3 linked regions of the Lepisosteus oculatus genome follow. The protein of the gene in region 2 purifies or fractionates together with the protein of the main gene of each other region. This does not show direct contact. Links are inferred from orthologs where the notes say so. Each region holds a gene or a part of one and is shown on either strand. Other genes may lie near its edges. The genes, in order: dlg1a, lin7c and rho guanine nucleotide exchange factor 26.

The links.
Region 1: the proteins of lin7c (region 2) and dlg1a purify together in Homo sapiens (affinity purification with mass spectrometry; 4 studies listed by BioGRID and IntAct, counting the BioPlex papers as one, with this or other methods). This does not show direct contact. The link is inferred for Lepisosteus oculatus from reciprocal best matches to the Homo sapiens genes LIN7C and DLG1.
Region 3: the proteins of lin7c (region 2) and rho guanine nucleotide exchange factor 26 purify together in Homo sapiens (affinity purification with mass spectrometry; 3 studies listed by BioGRID and IntAct, counting the BioPlex papers as one, with this or other methods). This does not show direct contact. The link is inferred for Lepisosteus oculatus from reciprocal best matches to the Homo sapiens genes LIN7C and ARHGEF26.

Annotation. Positions count from the first base shown.
Region 1 is NC_090708.1:2,036,833-2,040,578, forward strand, and holds the start of dlg1a (disks large homolog 1), read left to right. Parts: upstream 1-931; 5' UTR 932-1,703; coding exon 1,704-1,722; intron 1,723-2,117; coding exon 2,118-2,249; intron 2,250-3,746. UniProt on the Homo sapiens protein: Essential multidomain scaffolding protein required for normal development. Recruits channels, receptors and signaling molecules to discrete plasma membrane domains in polarized cells.
Region 2 is NC_090716.1:3,117,675-3,121,420, forward strand, and holds the start of lin7c (protein lin-7 homolog C), read right to left. Parts: upstream 3,003-3,746; 5' UTR 2,938-3,002; coding exon 2,901-2,937; intron 439-2,900; coding exon 320-438; intron 1-319. UniProt on the Homo sapiens protein: Plays a role in establishing and maintaining the asymmetric distribution of channels and receptors at the plasma membrane of polarized cells.
Region 3 is NC_090708.1:3,087,781-3,091,526, forward strand, and holds the start of rho guanine nucleotide exchange factor 26, read left to right. Parts: upstream 1-1,281; 5' UTR 1,282-1,736; intron 1,737-2,042; 5' UTR 2,043-2,135; coding exon 2,136-3,254; intron 3,255-3,633; coding exon 3,634-3,673; intron 3,674-3,746. UniProt on the Homo sapiens protein: Activates RhoG GTPase by promoting the exchange of GDP by GTP. Required for the formation of membrane ruffles during macropinocytosis. Required for the formation of cup-like structures during trans-endothelial migration of leukocytes.

The sequences.
Region 1 (3,746 bases), on a different chromosome or scaffold from region 2:
AGAGCGGGAGGGGGTGCACGCATCAAGCGCGGCCGCCTCTGAGGCTCCCCGGCTGCACCGACTCAGGTGAACCAGCGTCTCGGCAGCCGGTTCCTTCGGCACGCTGACAGCACACCTGGGCACACCTGGGAGATCTCGCACGACGAGGAGCGAGATACACTCCGAATTCACCCCCGGAGCCCTGGCCGCTCCTCGCACAGGTCCACCCGAAGGCGCCTGCGATCGCCCGGCCTCACCTGGGCGCGCGTATGCCCGCCCTCCTCCTTGCAGATTATCGGAAGCTGCTCTCCGCGAACTCATTAAACACGGAGATTACAACCTTGTTGCTCTGTGCGGCGGGGGGGGGGGGGAGTTGTAGTCGGGAGGGCGAAAGAAGTAGGTTAATCTCAAGAGAAACCCCGGTTCGCGATCGCGTCGCGCAAATCTCACCCCCTCCCTCATTCCAGGGCGCTCAAGGCGGGCTGGGTTGGCCGAGACAGAAGGAACTCATTTCCTCCGCCTCCATCCCGGGGTGAACAGACGGAGATGAAGTGACAGAAGCACGCAGCACGCACAGAAAAGGGGGAAAAAAAAGCTCTTGCGATCTGGAATTTTGTTTTTCCTCCCAGATAACGTGCACGTCTCTTTCCGCGTTCTGGGTTGCGGCGCTTTGTGCTGTGTGCTCTTGACGCGTCTATCTGTTCGGGGCTCAGCTGCGGACAGGTGTCTGCTGCAGGGCATCCTCGCGTCGCGCCTTTAAGAAACTCTCGAGTCTCACCTTTCCCCTCCTACTCCCCCCCGCCGCGTGCCAAGGTAGCCCCGTGCCGGCTCTCACTCCTGATTGGCCGGGCGGGGGTAGGGAGGGCGGTCACGTGACGGTGTTTCCAGCCGCCGGCCGCCATTTTGGAGGAAAGTTTGGAATTTCGGGCACAGAAGGGGGGGAGAGAGAGAGAGAGATACTAAAAGAGGGTGGGGAGGAAGAGAGAGAGAGAACAAGACGGGGAGAAGTTCGGTTTGAGAGAGAGAAGAAGAAGAAGAAGTAGTAGTAGTAGTAGTATTGGAGCTGACAACGGATTTGCCGGATCGAGGCGGGGGAGCGAGTTCAGACAAGTACTCCCCAAGAAAAACGCCGAGCAACCCGGCGGAAGGGGGTGGATGAGTGGGAGACGGCGCGAAGGATCGGATTCAACTTTGCTTCTGTCAGACAGCGGGGCTTGGGTGTGATTTGTGGCCGGGGTGTGGAGAGGGGAGTTGCAGGTCCTCCGCCCCAGCGTTAACCCCCCGAGTGTCCGCGGACGCGAGTGCTGGGCTGGGGGAGGTACGCACCGCCTAACTCCGCTCCTGGCTGGCTGACCCGACTGCGCAGGGGGGGCTGGATTTCCCCCCCTTCTCCTTCTTTTCGCGTGGTGCCAAAGTTTCAGGAAACTCCCCGACCCAGGATTGCACGCTCCCGTGTGCCTCCCCTGCAGCTCGCCCGCTGCCCAGAGTTTGCCGTTCCGGGCGCTGAACGAGGGGACCCCCACCCGTGTCCGTGTCCGGGTCCGGCGCGGAGCTCTTCAGAAACCCGAGACGCGAGGTGCGCAGGGCTCACCGGGGCTTCATGCGAGCCCGGATAAACTCTGCTCCTGGGAAGGGCGCTCGGCTGCACCGGAGGATTGCTTTTCTTGGGAGATTTTAATTCCTGGGTTTTCGCTGGGCTCCGCTCCGCAGCGCCGGAACTGAACATGCCAGTCAGGAAGAAAGGTGAGCCTCGCATCCCTCTGGGGGTGTAGGTACCCCACACCCCCGCGTCCTGTCTCTCGAGTAATGGAGTTTGCATGGGGGCAGAGCAGTGTGCGTGTGGAAGCTGAGAAGCCCGTGTTAATGTAAAACTAAACCGCACACACACACACCACAAAACTTGCTTTACTGAAACTTGCTCCAGGATCTCTGTGCGGGTCGAGTTGGGCAGGCGAGTGCACGGGTTGCTTCTGGGGGGCTGCAGAGGGTTTCGGCAGCAACTGGGGGGGACTGAAAAAGTGAAATCGCTGCGATGGGCTGTTGTCTTTTTTTTTTAACCTGTTAGAGGGGCAGCCCGTGTGTGTGTTTGTGTGCGTACGTTGTCCGGCGAGCTAACGGAAAGTGTGGTGTCCGCGCAGATGCACAGCGAGCGCTGCAGCTGCTGGAGCAGTACCGGGAGAAGCTGAGCCAGACCGAGGACCGCCAGCTCCGCCACTCCATCGAGAGGGTCATCACCATCTTTCAGAGCAACCTCTTCCAGGCCCTCATAGGTACGGCCGTGCCAGCGCCTCTGTTCCTCTGAATGAGCTCCCCTCTTCCCTTTCTGTTGCGCCCCGGGTCCCAGAAACACGGTGACGGTGGCCTGCATGCGAGAGTCCGGCCGGTAGATTCGCAAACAGAGGCTTCGGTTGGAGCTGACTGCTGACTCGACTCCCTCTTGGGGCTGTTGTGATCCTGCAGGCTGGGACCTCTGCTCTCTGTTCATTCCCAAAATTTGGTGTCATTTTGTGTGGTGTTGCACGGCTTGCTGTTTGCAATGCTGTGCTCAGCTCCGTGGGAATTTTGTTTATTTTTTTTGCCCTGGCAGTACAGTATTAAAAGCAGTGAGTCCTGCGTAAGATGGGACAGGTCGCCGTGTTGCAGGCTGCAGGTGTGCTGCACCCCGGGCAGCCTGTTGCTGGTCCTCCAACGCGGCCAGGTGTTGCTCAGGTGTAACTTCCCAGGCAGCAGGAGGGGACGTGGTTGTGAATCACTCCTACAGCTCCACTGCATCGCGCCCCCGAGTTCCCTAGAAATACTATCGGGAATACTGGAACTTCTCTTTTCTTCAACTAGCAAGTTGTGGAGTAGAATTAAAATCGGTGGTGGAGCCAAAAACCAAGATGAGCAGCAGAACGTGTCAAGTTCTTAAGATGGCTTTAAGCATTTGTAGTCTTAAGAACACATTTGGAGTAGATGCTCTGAGGGTTAAGGCCATAGCACCCTAGTTTTCTTTGTGTCGTAAATGTAAGAAACTTCTGCAGACTAAACCGAGAAGGCCTGTAGGGAACAGCCTGTGTGACTGTCGTGCGTGACTGTCCCCAGCTCGGTGCCGTTTGCTGCCAGCGCCTGGCTCTGTGGTTTTAACCCAGGAGCGGATTCCAGTGGATTCCCGCTCGGATATTTCAGCGTTCCGGCATTCCTCTAGGATGGAGTCAGTCCTGCAGGCCTTCACACGGTGCCGTTAAGTTTCCTTCCTGATGCTCCCGCCACTCCTTTCGGTCCGTTTCCTGCAGCTGTAATTGCACGCGCCTCGGAGACGCACGCTCCCAGCGACGGACAGAGCAACCAGAAGGGGCTCCTGGCCCAAGGTTCTTAACCAGCAGGAGCCCTCCTTTCCTCTCTGCCACACAGCCAGTGAAAAACAGGGCGGTTTCTAGAGCCCGGCAGATTTCTCGTGGCTGTGTGAAGTCACGCCTCTGTTGGCCAAGGACAAGTGTTCTCCCGTTCTGCCTTCATCCACCTCTTTGGGTCAGTCAGGGAACCTTTGCCACGCTCACAGAATTAAATATTGGTGTCAGATATTCAGCTGTATTCAGACTGGCCCTCGCCAGCTTTCTTAAGTCATGTAAGGATTTAGTTAGGAATTTAATTCTCTATCCAGGGTCCTAGTGTGCACGCTAAAACTCAAGTTTCCTTTCTTAGCACTGTTAAGGAAAAGGTTTTAAGTTTAACACATGTGCGGTACTGTGTTGGCTGGGGGTTAATATTTATGTGCACAGAGAGGT
Region 2 (3,746 bases):
TTTAACCATACTTACTATAAACCGATACAGTGCAGCACATCATGCAAATTTGACCAATGTTGAGACCCTACTGTAACTGGAACCTGACAGGTTTGTGGCCTCTTTACTTAATTTTTCCAAACAACATAATCTTTTGCCAAACGCTGCACTGCCACTCTGAGACCGAATAATAAAACACACCGTTTTTTTTATCAAAGCCAACAAGGCAGTTGCTTGGGACGGAGATATCCCTCCCTACAACCGAAACCTGGGTGCCAGCATGGGCCCATCCTCAGTTTGACACAGCGGCTAAGGGGCTCCAGACCCTCGATCTCCTTACCTCTCTCACAGCGTTGCAGAACTCGCTCTGCAGCACCCTCTGCAGGGCCTGCAGCTTCTGGGGCGGCACCTCTCCGGTCCGCTGCAGTTTATCCAGGAGCTCGATGGCCCGGGAGATGTCTGAGGAGCCGAAGGCCGAAGGGAGAAACAGGTCAGGACAACGGCATCACACGAGCACGTGCCTCTGTCTGCGCAGAACGTCCCTGTGGAGCAACAGGAACTTGCACGGGACCAGCCTCTGCATGCAGGCAGTAGATGTGTTGACGCTTTTTTTTTTTCCCAGGCTAAATGTTTTTACTGTACACTGTAGTACTTCTGTGCCGTGGCGACTGGGTTAGTTTTTACGCCTCAGTTGGGGGGGAGGTTGGCATAATTTGAGAAAAATGGTTTCCGCATAAACTAACAGACATGTAGTGTCGTCCCCCACGACGCAAATTATTTTTTAGAGATATAAACCAGACGTTATTTTATTTTAATTCTAAAAAAATACTGAAATATTGGGTGTTGGCACGCCTAGCAGGGTACTGCGCACACTGGAGAGGCTACTGAGCCAAAACAACACAGTAGTTTAGGCTGCGTGAAACACACTTGAAAAGGAAGCAGCCTTTCAGAAAGAAGTTAGTTTTAAAGGAAGGTGAGACTGATGTTGGCTCACGGGGGACCACTGCATGAGAACTGCATGCCAGTTTCAGTCTCACAAAGGTCAATCTCAGCAGGTACCTGTGACACCGCCACTTTCCTATGTCACACATGAGTCGAAACCACCAATCACACGGGCTCAGTGCGGCCCTTCCAGATCGGACAGTCCAACCCCAGTCCACCCACGGGTCACAGACCCCGTCTCTCGTGGGGGTGTTCCCAAACACTCTCTTCACTAGTCCCAGTTCCACACCGGGTGTGCGCAGATATGCAAAATTTATATTTCAGTATTTTCTTTAGAATTACATTAAAACGACATCTGTTTTATATATATAAATAATATCCATCATGTGGCACCTCTGCATTGTCTGTTTGTTACGCTCAGCAGGTGTGAGCCTGGCCAGTACCTGGATGAATGACCTCCTGGAAAAGCTGAGGTTGCTGCTGGAAGAGGTGTTAGTGGGGCCAGTAGGGGGCGCTCACCCTGCGGTCTGTGTGGGTCCTAATGCCCCAGTATAGTGACGGGGACATTGTAGTGTAGAAAGCCGCCATCTGTCGGATGAGATGTAAAACCGAGGTCCTGACTCTCTGTGGTCATTAAAAATCCCAGGGTGTTTTTTGAAAAGAGTAGGGGTGTCACCCCAGCCAAATTTCCCCCTGACCTTTACCAGTCATGGCCTCCTAATAACCCCCATCTCTGAACTGGCTTCAACACTCTGCTCTCCTCCCCACTGAGAGCTGGTGTGTGTGAGGGGACTGGAGCATCATCCAGGTGGGGCTGCACACTGGTGGGGTGGAGGGGATCCTCATTACCTGTAAAGAGCTTTAAGTGGAGTGTCCAGAAAAGCGCTATATAAGTATAAGGAATTATTATTATTATTATTATTATTATTATTATTATTAAACAGTTCCGAATTTCTCAAATTTTGCCACCCTCCCCCTAACTCTTCTGTACTAAGTAAGCCAGTCGATCAGCAGCTGCAGAACTACAATATACAGTAAAGACAGTTAGCCACGAGCAAGAAACTCCCCCAGATGATGCTCGTTAGTCCGAGGGCAGAAGAGAAAAACAGGGGCAACGCGAAATGACGTCAATAATGTATACAGCGCATTCGCACGGCCCCTGAAGCTCAGCGCCAGCAGCGAACACAACAACACGACATCACACGGCGAGATAATCCCCCTCCGACCAGGCGCAACGACAAAGAGTCGAGCAGTGGGGGACTACACGGGGAAACAGAAGTGACACTTTCACTTACTACAACCGTCCAAAGCTAAAATAAAACATTGTTTCGAGCGTGCTCTAGGTTTGCCTATACAGGAGGCTGCAACACCACCTCTCTCTCTCACACACACACAGCTCTGCGGTTTTGGTGTTCCAGGCAGTCAGTGCGCTACAGTGTTTCGTTTGTATTACAAACAACAACAACAACAACAACACAAAGGAACAGGCGCGTACAGTCTGGCACACCGGACGTCAAATTCGATTGTATTTGCACACAACGCAACGGAACTTGTTCAAAGGAGGGGAGAAGCAACGCTCTGAACCAGAAAACAGATCCATCCAGATGGCATGTCACCGAAAGGTGTTTACATGCGTTTATTTTGGGATCTCAGCCCCCTGTGAGAGATCCGAGCCTCCCTGCGTGGTGTCTGTGGTTCATGCGAACGCACCGTACTGCCATGAAGCCGCTGTTAACCCCAGACACACTTTTTAAATCTAAAGCACACGCTCGCATTATTATCACGGGTGCAACTGGCCAGCAGACGTTTCTATCTCGAACGACAGCCAAAAGCCCCCTGCTTGATCTAACCAAATGCAGCAACAATGTTACAGCGGGAAACAAGTGTATCCGCAGAATGTTAATAAAAAATAAACAACACAGTTGCCCGGGCTATACATCCCTTTTTTTGTTTTCGCTGTTTGTAATGTTTTTTTTTACCTCTCTCCAGCCTGACAGGTTCCCCAATCGCAGCCATTTTGTGCCTGAAGTCCGTCAAGCCAGTAGTACTCCAGCGAGTGCCCAATCCCGGCACAGCCTTGGTTTATGTGACACAGCCTCATTCAAACGGCAACATGACTTCCTGGTATTGGCACGGCACTCCCCGGAAGGTTTAGTTTCAGACGCCTTACAGGCTGGAAGGGGCTGACAAAGAACTAGCAGAGAGCAAACTTCTCAGACATCGTTGTTGAAAGTTTACAAACTCGAGAAGGTCACTCTGCCCATCTAACCCTTTTCTTTGTAGTCAGTCCAGGTATCTCATCCAGCTGATGTTTCGGCTTCAATAACAAGGCGAGGTAGCTCGTTGCACACTCCCACCACTCTTTGTGTAAAGAAGTGTCTCCTGTTTTCGCCTTTAAATATACTTCCACATAGTTTCCACGCTTGTCTTCTGGTTTGTGTCCCAGTGTTAATTCCGAAGAAGTGATTTAGTTGATTATGTCAATGTCGTTGATGGTTCTGAAAACATCTGTCAGGTCTCTTTGTAATCTTTTCTTTTAGGAACTGAAATAACTCCTTCAGCCTGTCAGTGTGGGACACTCCCTTCAGACTAATCAGACTCCGTTCCTTTAACCTGTCAGTGTGGGACATTCCCTTCAGAATAATGAGACTCAGTTCCTCCAGCCTGTCAGTGTGGGACACTCCCTTCAGACTAAAGAGACTCAGTTCCTTCAGCCTGTCAGTAAATAGAGTAAATAGTTTTTCATTGCTGTTTCAACAGTGTTTACTTATCCTACTAACCAATCCTACTAGCCTTGTGTCGTCTGCAAACCCGTCTAGTTAGTT
Region 3 (3,746 bases), on a different chromosome or scaffold from region 2:
TCCCAAACAGCACATTCGCCTTTTAAAAATCAAGTACAAAAACTCAATTTTTGCATTATAAGGGAGATGCCTTTTGTATTTGTATTGTTTTTGCTTCTGTTAAATAGATGTATCATTGTTAGTAGTACATGTTACTACTAGTACAGTAGTACAAAACTGAACTGAATGCTGTTTGCACTATTTGAAGATAGCGGAGCATTGTGCCAATTCAAAATATGCGGAGTGTTCATTTACAGTCCAACAGGAACAAAACCAAGAAATCGATGACAGGGCTTGTCAGATATCATATAGTATTAATCATCAGTACACTCAAATTGAAACAGCTTATAACTTATAACATACAATCCTTAAAATCTCATCAGCGCCTATTGGTGTATTCTACCAAAGCGTCAGGTTGCAAGTTTTAAAACGTGAACATCTGTTGAACCAGCTGTGCGTTCCTGAGCTGAACTCCGGCAGGTTTGTAACGCTGCAATTGGCGCTGTTGGGTCTCATTTAACCCGGCCTGTTAAAGGCTGCCATTTTTTCTAAAGCCCATAATACACTCAGGAGTTGGCCTTAATACGTCGTTTTAGGCGAGGAACGCAATAGGTAATGCCCTTATATAACATAAAACCTGGGGAAAACAATTGAATTAAAGAAGTCAGACTGACTCGGGGGTAAATAAAGGGGTCTGTGTGGGAATCAGTGTCTGCGGTAGACAAAAAAAAGTTTTTGTGTGGTTCGTTCGTCAATCACTTCTGAAATGCCATTATTAGCATTTTTATTATTAGGTCTATTTGTTTTGACAACCGCGAGAGCTATGATTCGTTGTTTTTGCTTTGATTATTATTTAAACTTATGTTAAATTGCTTTAATTACCTTTCTCGAGAACTGCCCCCCCTTTTAAAAGCATGTTGTCCGAATTTAAGACGGCCACAGAATTACGCTACGTTACCTCCTGTAGTTGTGACACAAATGTTGCCTCGCATGGTCGCACAGGCGATCAAGTTCTCGTGTCTGATAAGCTTTTTGTGTAGAAATACCTAAAATGGAACAATTAAACCTCTTTATACCATGGCGTATAAGTTCCCAGAAATGATTGCTTTTTTTTTCTTATAAGAAAACCCCCCGAAGAAAACCGCTTTTGTTGTGACGATTTGTGAATTTAAGAGTCTGGAGACTAAAAGAGTCTGCAGGTTTACAGTACTTTCTGTGTGATGTCTAGTACGGCCGTTAGGTGACGCTTGACGCCTAGAACTTGTTCTGAAACACGGACACTTGGAAAACTTCAACTTTTGTTCCACTGTGCTTTAGACTTCGCTGGCGTGACGCTGGGCTGTAACTCTGGACGTAGACGTTATCTGTTGTGATTAGTTCTGGTGTGGGCTGTTTAATTGCACTTCATGTCGTTGAGTTCGCTGGTCTCCGTGTACTGTACACTGCGGTGCTTGAACTTGGTTGGATACCGCGTCTCCTCCTCCTCCTCGTTTTCTTGCGGTCTCATTTTCTCATTGCTCTCCCAGTAGTGCGTAGGGTTCAAGAGGGAGCGAGGAGCAAAGCCGGTGAATCTAGCAGAAAGGGGCTGCTCGTCACCCGGTATTTGTGAAATCGCGCACTGCATCCAGGATTTGCAAAGCTAAATCAGACAAGGTCCGGATCACGCAAAGATCGGAAAGTGGGATTGGACGCGTACAGTAGTTCGGGACAGAGCAGTGAACAAAATGACGCGATTGCGCAGCAAAACAAACAGCAAGGTAAGTACTGTACATGCAGCTGGATTTCTTGTCTTTTTAATGATTAACCTCTACTCCGCTAAGGAACTGCTTTCGCAGTTCTAGAAAATAATTGGAACTTAAGTTATCTCGTTTCCTTTTGCTACCCATCGCGCGTTAAACGTCTGTTTGATCAACACTTTGGTTTTTCTAGCCTTATGTATGTATTTTTTTTCTAGTCGCCTTAGTGCACGATCCGATGTGAAGTTCTGCAAAGATCAGTGATGAAACAGAAAGGGCGGCGCAAGTAGTGTTTAATCATTTTTTTTCCAAAATCATTTCTGCCAGGCGCTGCAGCACGTATCGGAGGAGTTGTAATGTGAGCGCCTTTCCTTATGCGATTCCCTGAGACTCACTGTCCTCTCCCGGGAATAACGCGCCATGGAAGCGGGGAACGAGGTGGACTTATCCAACAATAATATCGCCCCTCTGTGGAAGAGGAGATCTGCAAGCCAGAATGGTTCAAGGGACCACGGCAAAGCCAAGCCCAGGCCTCTGAGCTACCAGATCGACGGGGTCCTGATGACGGATTTCCCAGTGGAGGACCCGTGTTCCTTTACCCTGACGCAGCCGGCAGAAAACATCCCGTCTCCAGGAGGCGCGGTGGTCTTGAAACACGTGCTGAACAGACCCACCCGCAAGGCGCGAGTGGTCAGGAGCATCAGCATCGGCCACCTGTCCAATGGCAAGCTTGCGCTGCCCAAACGCAAGGCGGAGGTGGACAGGCGGGCGGGGAGCTGGGCCCCTGGAGCTGCGGGCGCCGCCGAGAGCGGGGGGGCCCGGCCCGGCTGTCAGGAGAAGAGCCCCTCCTGCCAGAAAACAAAGGCACCCCAGAAGCGGCTGTCCAGCCCCGTGACGCTGACGTCACAGAGGGACCAGATCGTCTTCAGTTCGAGCCCGGGCCCCCCGCCGGTCAGGAAGGACACCGCCGCGCCCAGCGCCAGCCCCAGCCCCAGCGCCAGCCTCGCAGCCCCGTCTTGCTGCCCGCCCGGGTCTCCTGAGAAAGAGGGGGACCGCTCCCCTGTGTCTCCTCCCGGGGAGAGGCAGGTGCTCCACAGGGCGTCCTCCGGAGCTGCCCAGGACTCTCCCACGTCTCCTGCCGTAGTCCTGAGCACCCACAGCCCCGCGGCTCTCAAGATGGGGACGCAGCAGCTTATCCCCAAGGGGCTGGCGTCGGAGGTCAAGCTGGCCAAGGGCCACAGCCACAGCCTGCTGGAGCCCACCAAGCGGGCGCTGCGGGCCCTCAGCCTGGTGGAGATGGGCTCGGGGGCCCTCTTCGGCGTGGGAGACGCGGACGGGGGGGGCGACCCGGACCTCGAGAGCCCCGGCACCCTCAGGCGGGGGCTGAGGTCCACCTCCTACAGGCGTGCAGTGGTCAGCGGCATCGACGCGGACGCCGGGGCCCCCGCCAGTCCGCTGAGGGCCAACCACCTGTCGCAGCCCAACCTGAGAGCCGTGGAGGAAGACAAGGAGAGATTCTCCACGCTGGGAAAGGGAAAAGTAGGTCCACCGTGTTGTTCATGGAATCCCGAGTGGTGTCAGAGGGCTGTTTTAGACCACGTCTTCTTTAAGAAAATAAAGAGAAGCATATTTATCCTTATTAGCATTCGTTGTACATATGAATTTACATATGAGGTTTAAATTTCCTTTGGAACTGGGTGCAAACTGGCACTGGTAGTTGATTTAAAGTTCGAGTACACTTCTGTGACCAAATGATAGTAGGAAAATTGGTCTGTTCGGCTAACTGACAAAATAGCATTTATGCAGTAAGCCCAATGAACCAGTGAAAACCTAAGGATAAAATGAAAAGTTATACTGAAATCCACGACATGCCTTACAATAAACCCATCCTATTGATCTTTTTCCATGTTCCCAAAAGAAGAAGGGGCTGCCAACACAGGGAACTTTCGACAGTGAAGGTAAGCAGAGCCGTCTGATCTTTTCACTGGCATGTGGGATTGGAAGTTCCTGAGCTCAGGTGCTCACTCCTAA